Daphnia pulex: one gene and its partners. The main gene of each other region encodes a partner of the protein of the gene in region 2 in a complex. Links are inferred from orthologs where the notes say so. Each region holds a gene or a part of one and is shown on either strand. Other genes may lie near its edges.

Evidence for each region.
Region 1: mediator of RNA polymerase II transcription subunit 23-like (region 2) and mediator of RNA polymerase II transcription subunit 7-like share a complex: the UniProt entries of both Homo sapiens proteins name them as parts of the mediator complex. The link is inferred for Daphnia pulex from reciprocal best matches to the Homo sapiens genes MED23 and MED7.
Region 3: mediator of RNA polymerase II transcription subunit 23-like (region 2) and mediator of RNA polymerase II transcription subunit 8-like share a complex: the UniProt entries of both Homo sapiens proteins name them as parts of the mediator complex. The link is inferred for Daphnia pulex from reciprocal best matches to the Homo sapiens genes MED23 and MED8.

The regions. Positions count from the first base shown.
Region 1 is NC_060019.1:10,645,059-10,650,508, forward strand, and holds mediator of RNA polymerase II transcription subunit 7-like, read left to right. Parts: upstream 1-3,919; 5' UTR 3,920-4,055; coding exon 4,056-4,241; intron 4,242-4,298; coding exon 4,299-4,769; 3' UTR 4,770-4,838; downstream 4,839-5,450. Other genes in the region: tyrosine-protein kinase Btk29A-like, read right to left, coding at 1-17, 122-162, 2,570-2,923, 3,037-3,304, 3,394-3,555. UniProt on the Homo sapiens protein: Component of the Mediator complex, a coactivator involved in the regulated transcription of nearly all RNA polymerase II-dependent genes.
Region 2 is NC_060019.1:10,877,819-10,886,165, reverse strand, and holds part of mediator of RNA polymerase II transcription subunit 23-like, read left to right. Parts: intron 1-27; coding exon of another isoform or gene 28-106; intron 107-191; coding exon of another isoform or gene 192-288; intron 289-1,019; coding exon of another isoform or gene 1,020-1,054; intron 1,055-1,154; coding exon of another isoform or gene 1,155-1,333; intron 1,334-1,401; coding exon of another isoform or gene 1,402-1,474; intron 1,475-1,569; coding exon of another isoform or gene 1,570-1,572; exon of another isoform or gene 1,573-1,728; intron 1,729-2,567; exon of another isoform or gene 2,568-2,649; intron 2,650-2,693; exon of another isoform or gene 2,694-2,792; intron 2,793-2,855; exon of another isoform or gene 2,856-3,153; intron 3,154-3,637; 5' UTR 3,638-3,725; coding exon 3,726-3,773; intron 3,774-3,835; coding exon 3,836-4,077; intron 4,078-4,144; coding exon 4,145-5,644; intron 5,645-5,713; coding exon 5,714-6,076; intron 6,077-6,143; coding exon 6,144-6,758; intron 6,759-6,819; coding exon 6,820-8,227; 3' UTR 8,228-8,347. Other genes in the region: ovoinhibitor-like, read right to left, coding at 28-106, 192-288, 1,020-1,054, 1,155-1,333, 1,402-1,474, 1,570-1,572. UniProt on the Homo sapiens protein: Required for transcriptional activation subsequent to the assembly of the pre-initiation complex. Component of the Mediator complex, a coactivator involved in the regulated transcription of nearly all RNA polymerase II-dependent genes.
Region 3 is NC_060023.1:11,384,644-11,390,126, reverse strand, and holds mediator of RNA polymerase II transcription subunit 8-like, read right to left. Parts: upstream 1,821-5,483; 5' UTR 1,683-1,820; coding exon 1,659-1,682; intron 1,593-1,658; coding exon 1,452-1,592; intron 1,393-1,451; coding exon 1,296-1,392; intron 1,231-1,295; coding exon 1,103-1,230; intron 1,043-1,102; coding exon 820-1,042; intron 752-819; coding exon 651-751; 3' UTR 613-650; downstream 1-612. Other genes in the region: early endosome antigen 1-like, read left to right, coding at 3-178, 247-480; probable 28S ribosomal protein S25, mitochondrial, read left to right, coding at 1,935-2,178, 2,233-2,320, 2,385-2,553; male-enhanced antigen 1-like, read right to left, coding at 3,808-4,216, 4,293-4,393; protein CutA homolog, read left to right, coding at 3,247-3,328, 3,386-3,572, 3,647-3,732, 4,755-4,878, 4,946-5,005, 5,079-5,124, 5,196-5,245, 5,315-5,357 and 1 more. UniProt on the Homo sapiens protein: Component of the Mediator complex, a coactivator involved in the regulated transcription of nearly all RNA polymerase II-dependent genes.

The sequences.
Region 1 (5,450 bases), about 230 kb from region 2:
GGGTAGAGGGCCACAACCTGGACGGAAGATCCCAAAAGGTAAACACAAAGAATGCGACGATTAGTTTTTTGCAAATAAACAAGACATGAATAAGGGTCAATCTTTCGTTTTGACTGCATACCTTCTTAGGCACGACAGCGGGTTCAGTCGGGATGGAAGAACCTAATGGTGAAAAAAGAATAAAGCGCACGATGAGTGGCGGTTTAAAGGAAAATAAATAACATAGATGGAGAACAACGATAGCGAACAAGAGACGATGGGGGGTGTCTTATGGTTTGAAAGGTAATTTTCATCGTAGAGCTGAATTATCATCGAACTTGGGAGAAGGGAAGCTGGGGAGAGGGGGGTTCTTTTTGTTCCTCTTCTTCTTTTCAAAGGCTTATTTGGCGGATGTACTGACACACACACACACATACACAGCCGTATAATAACCTTCCGTCCTTGGCATACAAAATAGGCCTGTCGTCTATATGTAGTCTTCGACCTAAGAGTTTCAAGGGCTTGGAGATGGATACAAAACACAACTAAAAATAAAATAAAAAAATGGGATAGAAGAGAGAAAAAGAGGGGAGAGAGAGAGAAAAAAGGATAGAATGGGAGAAACGAGTGTGGGAGAAATCGTTGCTGCGTCTTCTATTCAACCACAGGCGAACAATGGATATAAGGAAGGCTTTTCCTAGCAGACTCGATACCGGTATGAGAAATTGAGGAGGGAACTTTCTCCCCTTCTCTTTAACGCGCTCCTTTGAATTGTACGCGTGTCAGAAACTCGTAAACAAGGACGGGTTTTTACTTTTCTAATAGTTATTCTAATAGTCCCAAAAAAGAAAAGGAAAAACTTGCAACGTCCAGTCTGGACCATTTCTGGCTGACGAAAGAGGAGGTGAGGTCAGCCGAGCTCCCGTCGATTTGAATCTAATCAACATCCAACTCACTTTACACACACACGGCACTAGAATACGCTCGAGGGAATTGAAACACGCAACCACACAAGACTGTCGACAAGTTTCTATCGCTACTACTACTTTCAAACGTTGAAACCAAGAAAACAGGAATTAACGGACAACAGATAAGTTGTGGTATAATCTCACATACTGGATTTTCTGCAAGGGGACTAGGGAAATCCCGAAGAAAACAATAAATCACAAATGTAAATATTTTCCATACAACACAACCGCATAAGAAATGATTGCCCTCGCAAGCATTCAAATACAACAGATTAAAATTAGAAATTGAATTCCAGAAATTTGTCGGAAGGCAAGCCAAACCCAAGTGCACATAAAGACCCACCGCGATGGTTTACGATTGTAACTTAACGCATTGAACACCTGTTGAGTCATTCAACAGGTGACTTTCAGGTGGGAGTCAACGTGAATAGCCTGTGCGATTTTCGATTGCTCAAGGGTAGTAACATGAGAAGAAAACCGATGAGAGAAAAAAACAACACAACACGGTGAAGCCGAACCATACCTAGAGTCAATTTACTTTCGGTGATCTTATAAGAGAGAGAATCCGAAGACATTGTGGACCAAATAGGCCAGCGGCAACCAAAAATGCGCATAATTTGCCCGTTAAAACCTCTGAAACATCAGCCATGTACGTAAAACTTACATACACGCATTGAAACTAGAGAAACAAAATAGGTAGGGGCGAGCTGACTGCAAAACTTGCACTACAACAAAATAGATTTGAACAATGGACCAAGGCAGCAGGTGGAAGCTTATCAATAATTCTCACGTTATTTTTTATCTCGTAAACACAAGCGCAACACTAATCGAACTGACAGGTAACTATTTCAGTATCTGAATGAAACAAACGTAGGCTGTTTTTCTGAGAGATATGAGAGACTGTGCTGTGCTGGCTTCATCATCTCTCCCACACTTTCGCGTAGGAATAGTCCAGTTTGTCGTTTGCTTTCGCTCTCACACGGGACTTGATGAGATGTGCAGTCCTCTTCTCGTCATTAGAGAAAAAGAAACGTGATTTATGAGAGACGCGGTCAGTGCCCACTGAGTACAGGGAGAGGGCTAGAACTAAAAACCGCCGAAAGGAATAAAAAAATCTCGGGGAAAAACAAGCTTGTGTGCATTCTCTAGGTCTTCTTCTCTCCGACCGACCGCAAATCCCCAACATTTTTCAATAGAGAAAATTTTCATGAATATTGCCAGTACCAATCTCACACAAGTTTTCTTTCTCTAAACCACTGCAGCGCCACACGCAACACTCACTTCTCTAGTTTTCTAATAATTAGTTGATCTTTTCAGCTATCCGATAATTTAGCTTCGCAAGTGAAGTGGATGTAATAACTTTATCCATTTAGTTTTTTTTACAAGGAAAACAAATTGAATCTATTCCAACGACGCAGTTTCTTAGAATGTGCTTCTATTGGCTTAAATCCCCCTCCCTCCCAAAGTCCTTGACTAAGGATTTGATGCGAAATAACTCAACATTAACTGTTGTTCATGTACTTAGAAGTCGTACAACTACTGTTTCCTAGAAGTATTGCAGGCAACGAACGGGTGTAAATCATTAGTTAGCACTTAGTAGGATACATAAGCGGGTATAGTACCTAACGCAACAACGGCGTTGTGAGAAGTGGAAGGGGATGCAGGAACAACATCCCCGACGATTGCCGGATGAATTTCCGTCGTGGGTTTAATCGCCGTTGGTTTGACCATGGCCGCCTCGACTTCAGCCCCATTCGCAGGTTTAGCGACAGGACTTGGTGAGGGAGACGGATGGTGGATGATGTTACTGAAATTGATGCCCATGTGTTGAAGTGTATTGGGAGCCCAAGTTACAGAACGGCAACCGTTTATTGCCTTAGACGTGGACCTTTGGGTTGATCCACAGCAAAGATAACTTCTATTCCCCCACAGGGCAGGGTGATACACATTCACAAGAGGAGCACTGTCTTTGACCACTATCAGGAGAAAAATAAAATAAATTATTAGATGAGATAAAATGAACATGTGAGATAAATACTGCTATTTGTCACACATAACTACTTGAGACGTCAAAAGAGAATGTTCTCACCAACTCGGATATTCCAAAGCCAGATATCTCTTTCTTGCTGAGTGGGAGTGAAAATGCAAAGAGTCAAGTCTGTTGCACTACAACCTTCATTACACTCATAAGGATTGTACACTATCTGAAAAGCAGGAGATCCCTTCAAATCACTCGGAATGGAACCTGTAAGGTTTGCCAATGGACCGATGGCAGGTGTGTCAGGTGCTGGATCAACAGCTTCCACAACTTTCACTGTTTGGAGGTCGACACGTCCCTTTTCTTTTCCTTTGCGATTCTGTTGTTTGGAATTGATGGTTGTGATGAATTAGTGATGAAGGGATTCACGAACACAGTCCATGCGTGTTTAGTAGAACTAAACCTTACCTCGCATTCGCCCTCGTAGTAGGCGAGGAACTTTGTGGTAAGGACGAACCATCGACTCTTGTAGTTGATCAAACTAAACCTCTTCTTGTTCTGTGATCGTTTCACTAAATTGCCTTGCTTTTTTACCTCACCTGCAAGAGGTTTGGCAGAGCTTTTAAACATACTTACAAAACGATCACTAATCAAAAAAGTAGTCCCCACTTGATAAAGCTGTTATAACTTCGTTCATTGTCTTTCTCCCTGGACCCTGGTACGAAGAGAATGAAAGCAGGACGAAGAAAAAGCTCTCCAAACCTCTCTAAATACTGGCAACTCGGACAGATCTAGCGGCAGTTGCCGACAACTATTATCGGATTTAATTTCCTCCGAAAATTAGCGATAAAATCGAGGAAATATACATTTAAAATAAAAAAATAAACAACGATTAATTGATTTAATGACAATTTAATGTAAAATTGAATTCTTTTACAACATTCTAAATCAAATTTGTTTCCATTCAAGAATGGCGTGTCGGGACAGCCACAAAAAGGAGAACATTGATCAAAAAATAGTCTGCTGAAATCCCCAAGCAAACGAACTAGAAAACGTCACATTCTTCATTCTTGAAAACAAACTATATTGTTTACATTACTATATTGCTTCATTCCAGTGGGAAAGTAAAAATGTCAGAAACGGCTCAAGTTAGTTCATTACCTTTGCCACCGATGCAATATGTCAGTCTTTTTAATGAAGAAAACGCTAAAAGAGGAAGAACACCGAGACCACCTCCTCCGATCACAGACAATTATTCCATGTTTGGTAATCCATATAATACTGATGATGCTGTGATCCGACCTCTTGAAAGCCAGGTGATAGAAGTTTTTTCTTAATCAAAGCTTTCTTTAATACTCGTTTTACTATTCCAGAATATACGACGTCTGTACCCTAATAACTATGACCACAGAAGAGAACTGAAAAAGCTCAATCACTCCATCACTGCTAGTTTCCTTGACTTGGTTGATATCTGCATACGAAATCCAGAGTCTGAAGCAAGAGCCACAAAAATTGATGACCTCACTTTGCTTTTCATTCACATGCATCATCTGGTCAATGAATTTCGGCCTCATCAAGCAAGGGAAACTCTTAGAGTTATGCTAGAACAACAAAAACGACAAAGATTGGAAATTGCAGAGCGTTTCAGAAGACATTTTGACAAAGCTTGGGAATTGGTTCAGCAGGCTGTCAACACAATTCCTGAACCAACTGAAGGCAACATCAAGCTCCTTATAGATGTTGAACGGGTTCAACCTTCAGAAGGCAATGCAAGCAACCAAACTTCTGGGAATGGGTGTACTGAGGAGGATCGTGTTCTGTGTCAAATGATTGATTCTTTGTGAATTCTGTGTTATTTTATGTTTATTCAAAGTGGAAAATACATTCGATCTACTCGCCTTTCTGATGTAAAATAGTCTGCTGTTTTATTTTTAATCGTTTTGGGACAAACATAATCTCGGTGATTTATTTTTTTTTAAGAATTTTTATTTTAAAATAATTATTGCAATAGATTTTTCTATTTGTATTTTAGTTGATAAATGTTGATGATCCACCTAAATTAAACATCTAGATCAAATTGCAACGTTGTTTATTCGTTTTAGTCCGTCTGCAGTCGCTGTAACATATTTTTCCTTCAAATTTTTCCTCTTGAAAGTTGATTCGAAACAACAATACCGTTGAAGTTAATTCTCTGCTTTTGGTAAGTGCATTGCTGTTAATTTAACTGTATATTGAACCGGTCTATCGATAGTTATTAGTTTTATCATTTCGCCTTGCAGGTAACATTCAATTGTTATAGCCAAAGCAAGTTTTTACACGTGATCATCTTTCGTTAGTAGAGTAAATTTTAAAATGACTGAAAGAAAAGTCAGCCCAGTTCCCGTCTATAACAATATCCTAATGGAACAATTTTTTGATGAGATCCATCCCAAACGAAGTCCTGTCATACTCAGAGGATTAGACATTGGAAGTTGTCTAGGAAAGTGGACAGCTGAATATCTTTCGCAAAATGTTGGGAATAAGCC
Region 2 (8,347 bases):
GATGTATTACTTTTAGCAAATGCACACCTCCGCAAGCGCCGGGTCCGTAGCTTATCACGATGCTTAAGGCGAAAAATATGAGGAACAGAGACGAGCATGAGAAATTCTAGATTGTTGGAAGAATGAAAATCTTGGTTATCTTAAGAGTCTGCACAAACTCCGATAATTACAAAAATAATAATATAATTTACCTTTGAGTAGAACTGAAGCATTTCAAGAGAAAAATGTTTGAGTCGATGGAGAGCGAAGGAAGTTTTAAATCTGAAAATGTTGTCTATCGACGGACACCTTTATATAGTACTGCTGTTTATGTTATACGTCTGTAGTGCCTCGATTCATCAGGATTTTGTAGACTGCAAACGCCCAGCGCCAAAGGGGATTATTTCTAAATATCTCCATGTTGGGAAAATCCAAGGGAACAATTTCCACATTTTAGTTACAACATACGTTTTTTTTTTAAATAATAACCCCCGTTTTTCAGTTCCGTTTCGGAGAAAAAAGACAACCAATAGGCCTTAATGTTTAGAACATTATTGATTTCAATGGCGCGACGAATACGTCATATTACCTACAAACTGATGGAAAGAATGAAGCGGAAGTATATTCTTTTGTTGAATCATAAAACAATGATGTTTTTAACATTGTAACCTGCTCTATTTTCCTCTGTCAAAATCCTTTGTTCCCGCGGGTTGCATACCGAGTTATATTCTACTACGCAGTAGGCTACATATTACGCGGCCATTTTGTAAAGATTTAGTGGATTCAAAAATGAATGAAACTACGTATCTAGGATCGCTTAAATATGCACCCATCATTCAACGGATATCACCCTCGCATTTAAACTAAAGCGTTCGATTTTCTTGCTCTTGGTATGCGTAGGTTAGACATATGGTATGGAATGTGAAGTAAAATCTCATCTCAGTCATGTAAATTAATCAATATAATTTTAGATGTATTTAAAAGCCTGTATACAATGAGTGGGATTGCACAGCAAATAGCACAAGTATATAAAAGCCCACTGGTCATCATAATAAAATAGCGTGACGAAAACGTACTAAAACATTGTTCGTATTTGAAATCAATAATGAATAAGAGGGGATCACTATAATTTTGGAGTTACTATTTAATGAAAATAATTTGTCTCCGCCATTTTATGGGCTCGCTTCTTTGCATGCACCGTCATAAGCCTTTGTGATGGACGACTTAGTCTTTCCACATATACCTTTAGTCTCGACACTCAATACGCATTCGTTAGAGTAAGTTTTCCCGTCTGTTCCACATACTGGGGCGTAATTTTTCTTGCAGTTGCAGCTAGGATCCTGGTCTTGTGGAACTGAGAAATAACATGACATAACAGTTATTTATCTATACAAAAATTAATATGTGAGCGTAATTTCATACTTCCTTGGACGCCAGAGCTAATCAAAATCAAAGTAACAAGTGAGATGAGAAGAAGAGCTGCGCTGAATCGGTTCTATGACGGAAATTTCGTACAAAAATAATTAAGTATGTACACAATTACATTGCCACTTTTGGGGGAGGTACATATTGCGTGTTAAAGAATAATACCATTTCAATTTGGTGACCGTTTATTTTCGGATTCCTTTTTACAGAGTATATGATGTGAATGTTGGACAAAACTGTAAGAAACTGATTTGTTACTATCCAAGCGAATTTGGTATATGTAGCTTTAACCAGTGTCGTAAAAGTATTTGAAACGCCCAGTGCTAGCGGCTACAAACATGTAAACCGGTTTTCTGTTTAGATTTGAGATTGCTAGTGCATACTCTCACGCAACTCGCAAGGAGGAATTTGACGACGAACAAACTAAACGGTTCTCCATGCAGGTTTTATTTCGTGCAACTTGTTTTGGTCAACGCAACTTTCCAACGTACATAGTCACCACAATAACAACGCCAAAAAGCACGCTACAAAGTATCGTAGTGTACATTAATCTACTACACACAGGCAGGTAAAACGAAGTTGTCCTAGAACAGCAGAAGAATATTTTAGTTGTGAAATAAATGTTGTTAAATAAATCTAAGTGAAATGCTGGCGCTGAAGAGTATAGTTTGGGAAATACTAATTAATTAGTTAACTTAACCTGTTAAACAGGTTTTAGGATATCAAGTCGTCTTTGTTCGTGTCCAGAGTTTGAGCTTTCACGAAAAGTTCTTTCACTTAACGAGCAAGTGTAAGCTGTCGTAATAAATTATTTATGAGTACCGCGAATTAAATTGTAACAGAATTCTCGGAAAAAAAACAGCGCAAGACAATGGTTTGCAATGGAAAGAAACGGCAACAAATAAATTAGGTAGAGAATGTCGTAAAGAAATCTAGTATCAATTTAATTAGCCTACACATTTTTCTAGATTCAAATTTTCCGAAAATTTACAAAGAGATTCACACAGATGGAACACACGAAGATGCAGGTACAAAGTTGTTCACCAATCGCAGCTAAATTTGATTGTTGACATTCACCTTCATAAGCCTCACTAACCAACGATTGCTCAGTTCCGCATTTCGTAGTTTGAACTCTCAAACATCCTTCGTTTTCGTAGGTTTTCCCATCTGTTCCGCAAACTGGGGCCCATTGTCTACTACAGACACACTGTGGCCGGTCAGTTTGTTGTGAGATTTCTTGTCGAACTATAATTTAATAAATTAAATGGTAAATTTACTTACTGGCTTTAGGAAAGAATTTATTTACCTCCTTGAACACCTGATGGGCTGCTGCTCACCAGAACAATCAAGGTAAGTGCGACGAGAAGCAGAACAAAGCTTAAACGATTCTAATAAGGAAAGAATCGAAAAATCCACACTTGACGAGAAGAAAATTGTTGTAATCAGATTACCATTGATACAGCTGCTGAATGCATTTTTAAGTTCATCCACAGGATCAGTAATTATGGACAAATGAAAAGAAGAATTACATAAGAAATACTGTAACTGTAACGAATGTGTAAAGCTTACTGGGCTTGGCTACTATCCTTTAATACTAGTCTTCCTTTAAAGCAACTCAGTCACATTCTATCAATCGGTTGTCGTCAGGTTGAAACGCCTTTAGCGCTCTGTCAAACTCGTTTTTAGCTACAAAAAGGACTCTTCTTGTAAGGAAATCGTTGTTTCCGTGTGTTCTTTCTATTATTTAGTTAAAAATTCATGTTTGAAAATAAGACATTTTTAGATTTCGTCCTTCCGGGTGCTAAGGTTTTGCCATTTTGCAATTCATCAAATCATTGTCTAAATTCAGATCAAAATATTTTATGAATCATAGTAGTCATATAGCTAAATAATGGGGATTGAAGTAGCTCACGACACTCTTGTCTGCTGGTCAGGAGCTGAAAGAATGAAACAGAAACAAGGGACCATGACGAGAGATTATTATCAAATTGATTGAACTCTTGTCCCCTTGTTCTCTTTTCCTAATTGCTGTTTTTTTTTGCATCGTTTCCAGTTCTTCGATGTTCGAGATTTTTCCCCATTTATTAGCGGCGAGTTTGAATATTTCCAAATGTTTAGATATTATTGATAGATGGCGTTCGCATCAACGTTTGGCACTTCGATATTTTTCTTGAAAGATTCACGACCGGTATTCTGATCTTCTCCCATTGTTGACTTCTTTATGTTTTAAAAGGTCTGGCTGCAATTAAGTTTATCCTGTGAATCAAATCTTCAACTGATATCAGTAAAGCGTGACTTTACTTTTTAAAGTCGGCCTAAAAATGGCATTGGACGGAAGTAAAGTACAAGCGTTGGTTTCGGAAGCATTGGTATGATAATCTTTTCAAATGAAAAATAAAACTAATATACTAATGCTTGAGTCAAATTACAGAAAGTTGATGCCATTGAAGAAGCTTTTAATGATTTCCTGATCCAACGCAAGGATGAGGGAGTTAAATATAGTGCCTTGGAAAAAGATTTGATAGCGATGATGAATGACTCTCAGGCTGAATCACAAGATGCTATTTTGCCTCAGTTTATTGCTGTCATTTCTGGGGTCAGTAGTGATTCACACTCAAAAATATTATTTAAACTTCTGGAAAGTGTAGTAAACACAAATATTGCAACATCCCGGTAAAAGATTCAATTTCATGTATTGTAATGTCCTTCTGTATCACTTTTTATTCCTTTATTTCAATAGGAAAGTATGTGACTCACTTTTGGGCAATGAGAAGCTTACTCCTGCAAATCCACTTTTATGGCAGGGAAGCTTCTCACTCATCAGGAAAATTGTGTGTCATGTGGATTACAAAGGAGTACGAGAAATAATGAAAACATGCCTGGAAAAGGCACAACTCTTGCCAAGCCGATTTTCAACATCAGAATATCCAAATGTAACAGCATTGGAGCATACTTTGAAACACATTCTAGACCGCCAAGTCTGTCTATTGCCAGCCTATTTCATCGTGAATGAAATAAGAAAAATGTATCCAGAAAACAAAGACTGGCCTCATTGGAAATTGGCTGGTCTATTATCAGAAGTTGTGGATAGCTTTCGCCCTTTGGTGCAAATGCTCTCTCCTATTGGCAGACCTTTGATGTTCCCTGTGGTTGACCCCTCTGCCCATGGTGTCCACCACAGTTGGAAACTGGAACAGGGTACACTCAAACTTGCTTTGAAAGGGAATTTACCCTATGAAAAAGAGTATACGGAGCCACAGACCCGCTTGATCCGGTACGTTTTGGAGCAGCCCTACTCCCGTGAAGTACTTTGTGGAATGCTGGGCTTACAAAAGCAACACAAGCAGAGACATGCAGTATTGGAAGAACAACTTGTAGAACTACTGGTGCAAGCTATGGAACGTGCAGAAATCGCCCCTGAACAGGATTCAGATGCCGCCGACGAGTTGGGCGTTTCTCATTGGCTCTGGCACCACTTATCCAGCCAAATCATTTACTTTGTTCTTTTCCAGTTCGCCTCATTTTCCCATCTAGTCACGTTATTGCACGAGAAATTGGCAGAACGAAAACTACGCAAAGGGCGCGATCAATTAATGTGGGTTCTTCTCCAGTACATATCTGGCAGCATCCAGAAGAATCCTCTGGCCGAATTCTTGCCTCTTTTGCGGCTGTACGATCTACTCTATCCTGAGCGTGAACCTTTGCCTGTTCCGGACTACACTCGACCTATCTGCGTACATCAAATGGCCGTTGCATGTATATGGATACATATTGTCAAGAAAGCCCAGACAGAACAACAAAACGCCCAGAAAGAAATTGCTGCAGCTGCTGCGGCCGCGTCGACTGCCGGAGCTACCGGCACCAATCCTTCTCCTGCGGCCCCAACTGGAGGGAAAACGGATTCTCGAGCTTTTACGACTCTGCTTCAGAGACATTTTCCTCAGGCACTTAAAAATCACCAAGAATTTCTACAGCATAATGCTCTTAATCCCCCAAGCAGTGCTCCTTCTGGGGACTACAGGGTAGCTCTGCTTTGCAATGCATTCTCCACGACGTTAGACTGTTTGGCTCGCCCTATGGGTTCGCTAATGGAATCGTTGCACGGAAACCTAAGCCAAAAAGGTTCTGGGAACGCAGGAGGAAGCGCTGGTGGTATGCCAAATACAGGACCCATTTCACCCATTCCGCTGGCCTTTTTAGACGCACTGACTGTGCATGCTAAAATGTCGCTCATTCATAGGTAATCACTTCACATGCTTTACAGTTTTAAGGTTTTCTTTATTAATTTCTTATCATTTTCTTTGTTCAGTATTGTGACGCACGTTATCAAATGCGCACAAACAAAAATGAACGTTCCTTTAGCTCCGGCCCTCGTTGAAACGTACAGCCGCCTATTGGTCTACACTGAGATAGAGTCGTTAGGTATCAAGGGCTTCATCACGCAAGTGATGACTAGCGTTTCGAAATCACAAGCGTGGGGTATCTTCCATACCCTGGTGGAAATGTTCACTTTTCGTGTTCACCACATGCAACCACAATATCGCATACAGCTGTTAACTCTGTTGCATTCGTGCGCAGTGCCACAACAGCATCAAACACAGCTGACACTATGTGTTGAAAATGCGGCCTTGAGGCTTATAGGATTACTTGGTGCAGCAGAAATGCAACCTTGGTAATAATTTGGAACCCTTCAAAAGCAACAACTTAATTTCTGGTTTAATTATCCATTATTTTAACAGTTATTCGCGATCAGCTGCCGATATTAAACCACTCTTCTCAAGCGATTCGGAAGAACTCAACAGAGCGCTCATCCTAACGCTTGCTCGAGTAATCAGCGTCGCTGGATGTGAAACGCAACATAGCAGCTGGTACAAGGATCTGCTAACTTTAATACAGCAACAGACGCCTCATAGCTGGTCCAGTAACACACGCGACTGCTTTCCTCCACCCCTAGCCGAGTTCTTCGGACAGGCAGCGAATCAACCAGTCAAGGAATCAAAGCAGCAGTTGAAGCAAAATATCGAAGAAGAGCACCGAAAAGTATTGACCATGAATCCAGACGATTGGCCGGCTCACTTTGCCCCACAATCAAACAATCCGCCATTTTTCCTTTGCTTGTTGTGGAAGCAACTTCTTGAAACGGAACGTATCAATCCCGTAGCTTACAAGTGCATCGAACGCATAGGCGCCAGAGGTTTGGGCAGCCACCTGCGTACATTCTGCGACTTCTTGGTTTATGAATTTGCCAATTCTGGCAAAGGTCAACACGTTAACAAGTGCATTGACGTGCTTAACGAAATGGTGTGGCAATATAACGTCGTGACTATTGAGCGACTCGTTCTCTGTCTGGCCTTGTGAGTATTTATAATGCATAGTGAATCTAGTTTTCTTAATTAACGAGCTGTTCATTACTAGGCGTCCCCTGGAAGGTAACGAAGCCCAAGTTTGCTGTTTCATCATTCAATTGCTGCTTCTAAAAACACCGCAGTTCCGTTCGCGTGTTCAAGATTTCGTCAAAGATAATTCGTCCGAGCACTGGCGTCAAAACAATTGGCACGAAAAGCATTTAGCTTTCCAGCGAAAGTTTCCAGAACGCTTTGGACCTCCCGAATCGGTGCTTGAAAGCATTGGCCAGGGTGGCTCTTACCAATCTCTCCCTACTTACTTTGGTAACGTTTGCCTCCGTTTCCTTCCCGTTTTCGACATCACTATTCATCGTTTCACTGAGATTCCACCAGTAACCAAATCGCTCGAAACCATCCTAGAACACCTAGGCTGCTTGTACAAATTTCACGATCGACCAGTCACTTACCTTTACACAACGTTGCATTACTATGAGCGTAAACTGCGAGACAGGCCACTACTAAAACGAAAACTGGTTTCCTCCATCATGGGCTCTCTTAAAGATGTCAGACCTCCTGGGTGGGCTTTATCCGAGTCGTACTTAAACTATAGCACTCGTCAAGCTGATGATTTGAATTGGCTGCCAGAATTGGATTATTATGTCAAGTTAGTTGGGCGCCTTGTTGACACTACTGCAGGACGTTCTCCGTTTCCCTTTCCGGCAATGGACTGGCGTTTTAATGAATTCCCGAATGCTAGCTGCCATGCCCTTTATGTTACAGCTGTTGAGCTCTTGGCACTTCCTGCTTCACCTGCAATCGTAGCCAATGCATTGATGGATGTCGTCTTACAAGGATACAATCTTTTGCCAGTTTCGGAAGCAACACCATTAGAATCTTGGGTGAATGCTGTTGGCCTTCTTCTGACATACTTGCCGGAGTCGTATTGGTCGGTCTTGTATGACCGAATCGTCGAACTGTTAAGCGGTCCACAGCTTTCCACATATACGTACCCCTGTTCACCATTGCATCTCTTCCATTTCTCGACAGTCGTTGGCCAAGGACTTGATGCTCCTTTTGTCCTTTTGCTCGCCGTTTCCCATGCATTCTTCACCCACGCAAATATAGGTCAAATGGGTGGCCTTCCACAGTTTGTCAAAGATCGCTTGCATCCACTTATTCGTACTGAGGAACAGTATCTTTGGCTTTGCCATTTGATCGGTCCAACTTTACAGCGGTTCAGTGTCGACAAGCCCAAATGCGTTTTTGATTTGACGGTTGAACTCTACGAGCTGCTCGAACAAGTGGACAAGAATGTGGCTGAAATCAGGATGATTGACCCTATTTGTGATCTACTCTACCACATCAAGTACATGTTCACTGGCGATCAAGTGAAGACTGAAGTAGAGCAAGTTATAAGGAACTTGAAGCCACCATTACGACTCCGACTTAGGTTTATCAGCCATTTGAATCCACAGTGATTTCTGATCCTCAAAACCGACTGAAATCGTTTTTAAAAATGTCGGAAATACTATCTATTTTTCTTTTCTATTCCCAACAGATGTGTACAAATTGAATTACGTTGTCTTTGATAATAAAAC
Region 3 (5,483 bases), on a different chromosome or scaffold from region 2:
AGAGCTTGAAACTCGGGTAGCGTTGCTGGAGGAGGGAAAAACAGAACTGCAAAACAATTGCAATCAATGGGAGAATGAAGTGGACAGACTTAAGTTCAACGCTGCTGAACTACGTCGTCGCCTAGAAGATTCGCAAGCTGCTTTACACGAACTCGGCCGAGAAAATCAGAGTCTTCAGGTATAAATAAAAAATCGACAAACATTTTCATTTATAAATTGACAAAATGGTTTTCTTCGTTACATCAGATGGAAAACGCCAAATTGCAGGGCCGAAAGTGGGCGGATGATTCCGAAGTGAATGATTGTCTGAGCTGCCAAAAAGGTTTTAATCTAACGGTTAGGAAACATCACTGCCGCAACTGCGGCCAAATCTTTTGCAACGAGTGTTCTAGTAAATCGACTGCCGTTGGTAATAGCCGGAAACCCGTCAGGGTTTGCGATTCATGCTTTAAGGAGTTGACTATAAACTCTCCGCGCTAAAATACTTATTATATTCCGTGTCGCCCTCCCCCCCTTTTTTAATGACGTTAATTATGAGTGTTTATGTTCAGTTTACGATGATTGAAGTGCTCCATTTGAGATATTATAAGGGAGGCGTGTTTGGTATTCTGATTTCAATATGAAATAAATGTGTATTTGGTCTAGTCCTATTATCTGTTGTATGGGTGCGCTTGGCTGGCCGCTTTGATGGTTGTCTTGATAGTACTTGTTGTTTTCCCTGGAGCCGGACCAGGCTGTGCGCGTCCTGGACCTTTATATTGAAGACGATGTGTTGGAATTTTTGCAATTTTAGAAGCAAAGCAAGCATAATTAACTCACCAGGTTGAGTTGGAGCAGCTGTAGGAAGGGTTTTAAGGTTCTTGCCCAATCCCACAGCAGCAATCAGAGCGTGCGTATCGGCTATAATACAAGTGTGGGCTGCATTTGCTCGGACAGTAGCTTCATTTTCCCAATCTTCTCTTGAATGTGTTATTTGCTCCAAAACATGATTGACCACTTTATTCATTGCATTGATTTGCTTTTGTGCTGTCTCTGGTGGAACCTTTAACAATAAAGAAGTTGTAAGATTTTATGTTATTATTTCTGTTAAAAGTATTCTTACCTGTAGAGCACGTTGTTCAAATTGATTTTGACGTTGTTCCACATCTGGATCAGGTTTTGTTCTCAGCATATCAGGTGTTATGTCATGTGAAAAGGCCACAACACGCCCTTCTGTTGCTTGTTTGAGCTCTACAAATAAATGTTTGATGATAATCACTCATACCAGCAAGTATGCATAGTAAGTGCAACTTTACCCTCATCTGGATCAGGGCTCAAAACTAGAGGTAAAACTATGAGGTTTCTCAAAAGTGGAGTTTTATCATTCTTCATAACTTTCAGCAATGTATTCATCTGGTTTGACGATTTAAAATTAGTCTGAATTACTTGCTAATGTCTTAAGCATAATTTACCTGGCCAGATATAACGGCGTAGCTATCCAAAACAGAAGGCCAACTGAGGGATCCATATTCATTTTCCAAACGAAATAACAGAGTTCGGATAGAAGTCTTTAGGTCATTAATTCGCTGAAGCAAAGCTTCCAAAGCGGCTTCCTGATTTGAACGTTTTTTGTAAGTTTGGGATGAAAATTTACCTCAATTCTTAAATTATATAATTACCAGCTGTTTCTCTTCACGCTGCATCTTGGTTATAAATTATGAGAAAGCTCTTTTAAGTTTTAATTCACATAAACTGATGTGATGCTTTTGTAGCTTGCTGCTTGCTAGCTTCAACCAAATGTCAATCACAAAAATGTCGTCTGCGTTTGTTGCATAAGCCCTCTAGTGTCAAATTATCAAGACTTAGCCATTCCGTTGGTTCGTCTGCTTGAGAAATTATTTGTTCAAGTTCTCATTATCATTTAGGTCGAGTAAAATAGTTTTTCCCATAATAAAATGCCGTTTATGAAAGGTCCTGCTCCGATCCGAAGAACTTTGGAGTATTTAGACCGAAATAAGTTGGTGTTAAAGGATAGAGTCAAGATATTTTCGATCAACTACAACACAAAAGGTGAAAATCACGAAGGTGCCCGACAATTCGTGTTTTGGCACTTGCCTCAGTTACAGTACAAAAACCCCAATATTCAGATAGCTACCTTCAAGAACTTGACTCCTAGTCCATTTATACGGTGTTATTTAGGTAACTAAAAAAATATTACATTTTTTTCAAATAAGTAACAAATTTCATGTTCAGAAAACGGGGAAGAGGTTCTAATGGATGTTGATTTCAAGTCAAAAGATGAGATCTATGAAAGAGTACGCAGGATTATTTGCAAATCAGAGTAAGTTGTTGAAACAATTATGTAAGATTAAATGCCAAATAATTATTAATTGATTGATATCTAGAGAAACACTGAAAGCTGAGGATAAAATAGAAAACCCAGCTAATTTTGGAGCTAAATGCAGCAGACATTGCATCTGTGAGGTACCTGGTCAGTTACCTTGCCCAGCTCTTATTCCTTTGCCAAATAGTTGGAGAGGAAAGTACAAGTTTCAAAAGCCAGATGAATTATAAATGAATTACAATTGCCCCACAATGTAGTCAAATAAAAAAAAATTTTTGAGAATATTATGCAATTCTGCTTTTATTATTAAACTGTTTGACAATTAACGTAGTTATTGCATTTGAGGAGCCATTAAGTCCATGTCGACACACTCGCGTGCAATCTTTACTCCCAAGGCGAACAAAGCCACGCTCTTCACCAACGACCTAAGATAAAAAAAGATTCTCTTAGTGAGTGTTTCATAAGTTAATGGGATTATATAAAACTTACCATCTGAAAGGGTCGTTGTAAAAACTTTTAATGAACTGCATTTTACCAGCTTTTTTGTTTGATCTTTCCATAGCAGCTTTTAAGATTTACTTTGGTTGTGATAAGCTTGAGAGTTGAAGCAGACGGTTTTTCTGATTATCGACATTGCGAAGTATGCATTACGCAAATAATTGATAAAAACTACTTGGAACTAGAACCAGAAAATTTAATCATTTTGCAAGTGTTAAATTAAATTGTATCCATAATGTTAAAAATAATATGATATCAATATTGTTGAATAATTTTTTTTGTTGTTGCGAGAATCGTTCCTCCTTTGTTTCTCGATCGTGTGATGTCTGCTTCTGTCAATTCTCGGCTTCTCGCGGTCGTCTGAAAAGTGAAAAATGAATTAGCCCCTCGAATAGCTAGTTGTTGTTGATTCCGAATTTGACAAAATGGACTTAATAGAAAATATGACATTTCGAACACCAAAACAAAAAGCTTTGGTGTTACAACTTTATAAAGATCTTAAATTCGGTATAATGTTTGTTAATATTCTGTTGTTGAATTTTCTTTTCTCATAAACTGTTTTAGTTAGGGGGAACGAAGATGTGAAGATACATCAGTGTGATGAGTTGGATTTAGTGTACATTACAGGATACTTGCCTGATGCTGAGAGACAACAGGAAATCTTTTTGCCATTAGCTGCAGATGAAGCAATTTCAATGAAAAAAATAGGAGAAGTTCAAAAATGTCTGTTTCATCGACACAAATCATCAAGGTAAATTATTGTTTCATCTAAGGCTGCTCAGGTTTAAACAATCAGATTAATTATTGTATTTGATTCACTTAAAGACTGACTTTGGCACTAATGGATTCTGATTCCACTACTGTTTATTTTGGTGTAACACCTGGCTTATTACCTCCATCAGATTTGGAGGGTAGGAAATAAATTGATTACTCATCACATAATGAAGACAAGAATTTATTTTTTATTTAATAAATCAACAATTTTACTAGTCAAATACTGCCCATGCCTCATCTACTCCCTTCTTAACCTTTTCATCAACAACTTGCTTAAGTTGGTCATCACTGACTGAGTGAGCCCAAACTGGAATAGCTGTACTTGGGAGAGTTACTTTTGACATTATTGATTTTATAGTTTCAATCTGTGTTGTGTCAAGTGGAATGCTAGGTTTATCATTTGGTGTAACAGCAGGAGCAGATGTTGGATTTTCTATTGTAACAAGGTTGTGATAGTTATGGCTTGTTCTGATCTGGAATTCTTGTCCATCATAAGTGCTGTATCCAAATTCCACACAATCATCATCTTCCTCTTCACAGAGGGAAGTAGGGAGAAGTTCATATCCATTCTCTCCTATTTGTTGCTCTTCAGCAGCAGTGTCTTCTATTTCTGTCAGATCTCTGCAAAAAAAAAAACAATTTTAACTTGTTAAAAATATTTTCCAGTGTTAAATTTGGACAGAATAAAAAAATGGACCTTTCGTTAAAATCACTGTTAAACTCATCGTGAACAGAGTTATTTTCGTCTATGTTATCAGGCAAACGACCAGAATCTGGTTCAGGAGAATTTCCCGTCATTTCCTTTTGAACACAAACTGTATAAAGCGAAAACTCACAAATTTATCAATCAGAAGACTGTAGACTCCCACAAACAATGTCCAAAACAACGACAATTGCAAGCCAGTGACAGCTCACAGCTGATTATATATCGACGATTTTTAAATGTTATTTTGCGATTGTTAAGCAGAAGCAGACGAAATTTACTTATTTACAACACAATAAATTTAAATGAAAAGTAGGCCTAGTCAGAATTTTTCTTAAAAAATTATTATTTACCACAGTTTATTTGACGATTAATTTAATAAAATTCTGCATATTTTGTTGCAGTCCTCTTTTTGGCGGTTGTCAAAGAGGGTAATTATGACAATTTTGTTTCTAGGAGTCTTGTATAGAAAACTTTCAAATCACACTCACAGCATCGTGTCGCCCAGTCTCATCTCTAGAATGCATTCCATGTCATTTATTACAGCCCCAAACGAAGAAGTGGCCAAAACTATTGCCCGGTTTGTTCACTTTAAATTGCTTTTTATTAATCTACAATAATAACAAAATAACATTTCTAATTGACAGAGGTCTTGTTTCTGAAAAACTGGCTGCTTGTGTCAACATAATTCCAAAGATCACATCTGTGTAAGATTTTTGAAATACAGTTACATTTTCTTTACATTCATGATGATTTTTATATCCATATTTTTTTATTCAGGTACAGTTGGGAAGGAAAAGTTAATGAAGATTCAGAAGTCTTGATGGTAACAGTAGAAATATTAATTTTATTAATTTTATTTGAAATCAAAACTATACATCATTTTCTTAAAAAAAGATGGTGAAAACCAGAACTTCGAGACTACCAGAGCTAACAGAATATGTCAAGTAATTGTTCATGTAAAGCAATCTTATTGAACTAGATGAAAGATTTTTTTTATACATTCCACAATTCAGAAAGAACCATCCTTATGAAGTTTGTGAAGTAATTTCCACTGAGGTAGACTTTACAGACAAATCACAGAACATGTTTTCCTACATGTAAATGACCCTTTCCTATGTAAATAAGGTATATATTTCATTTTTAGATCTTACAAGGGAACAAACCATATTTGGATTGGATTTT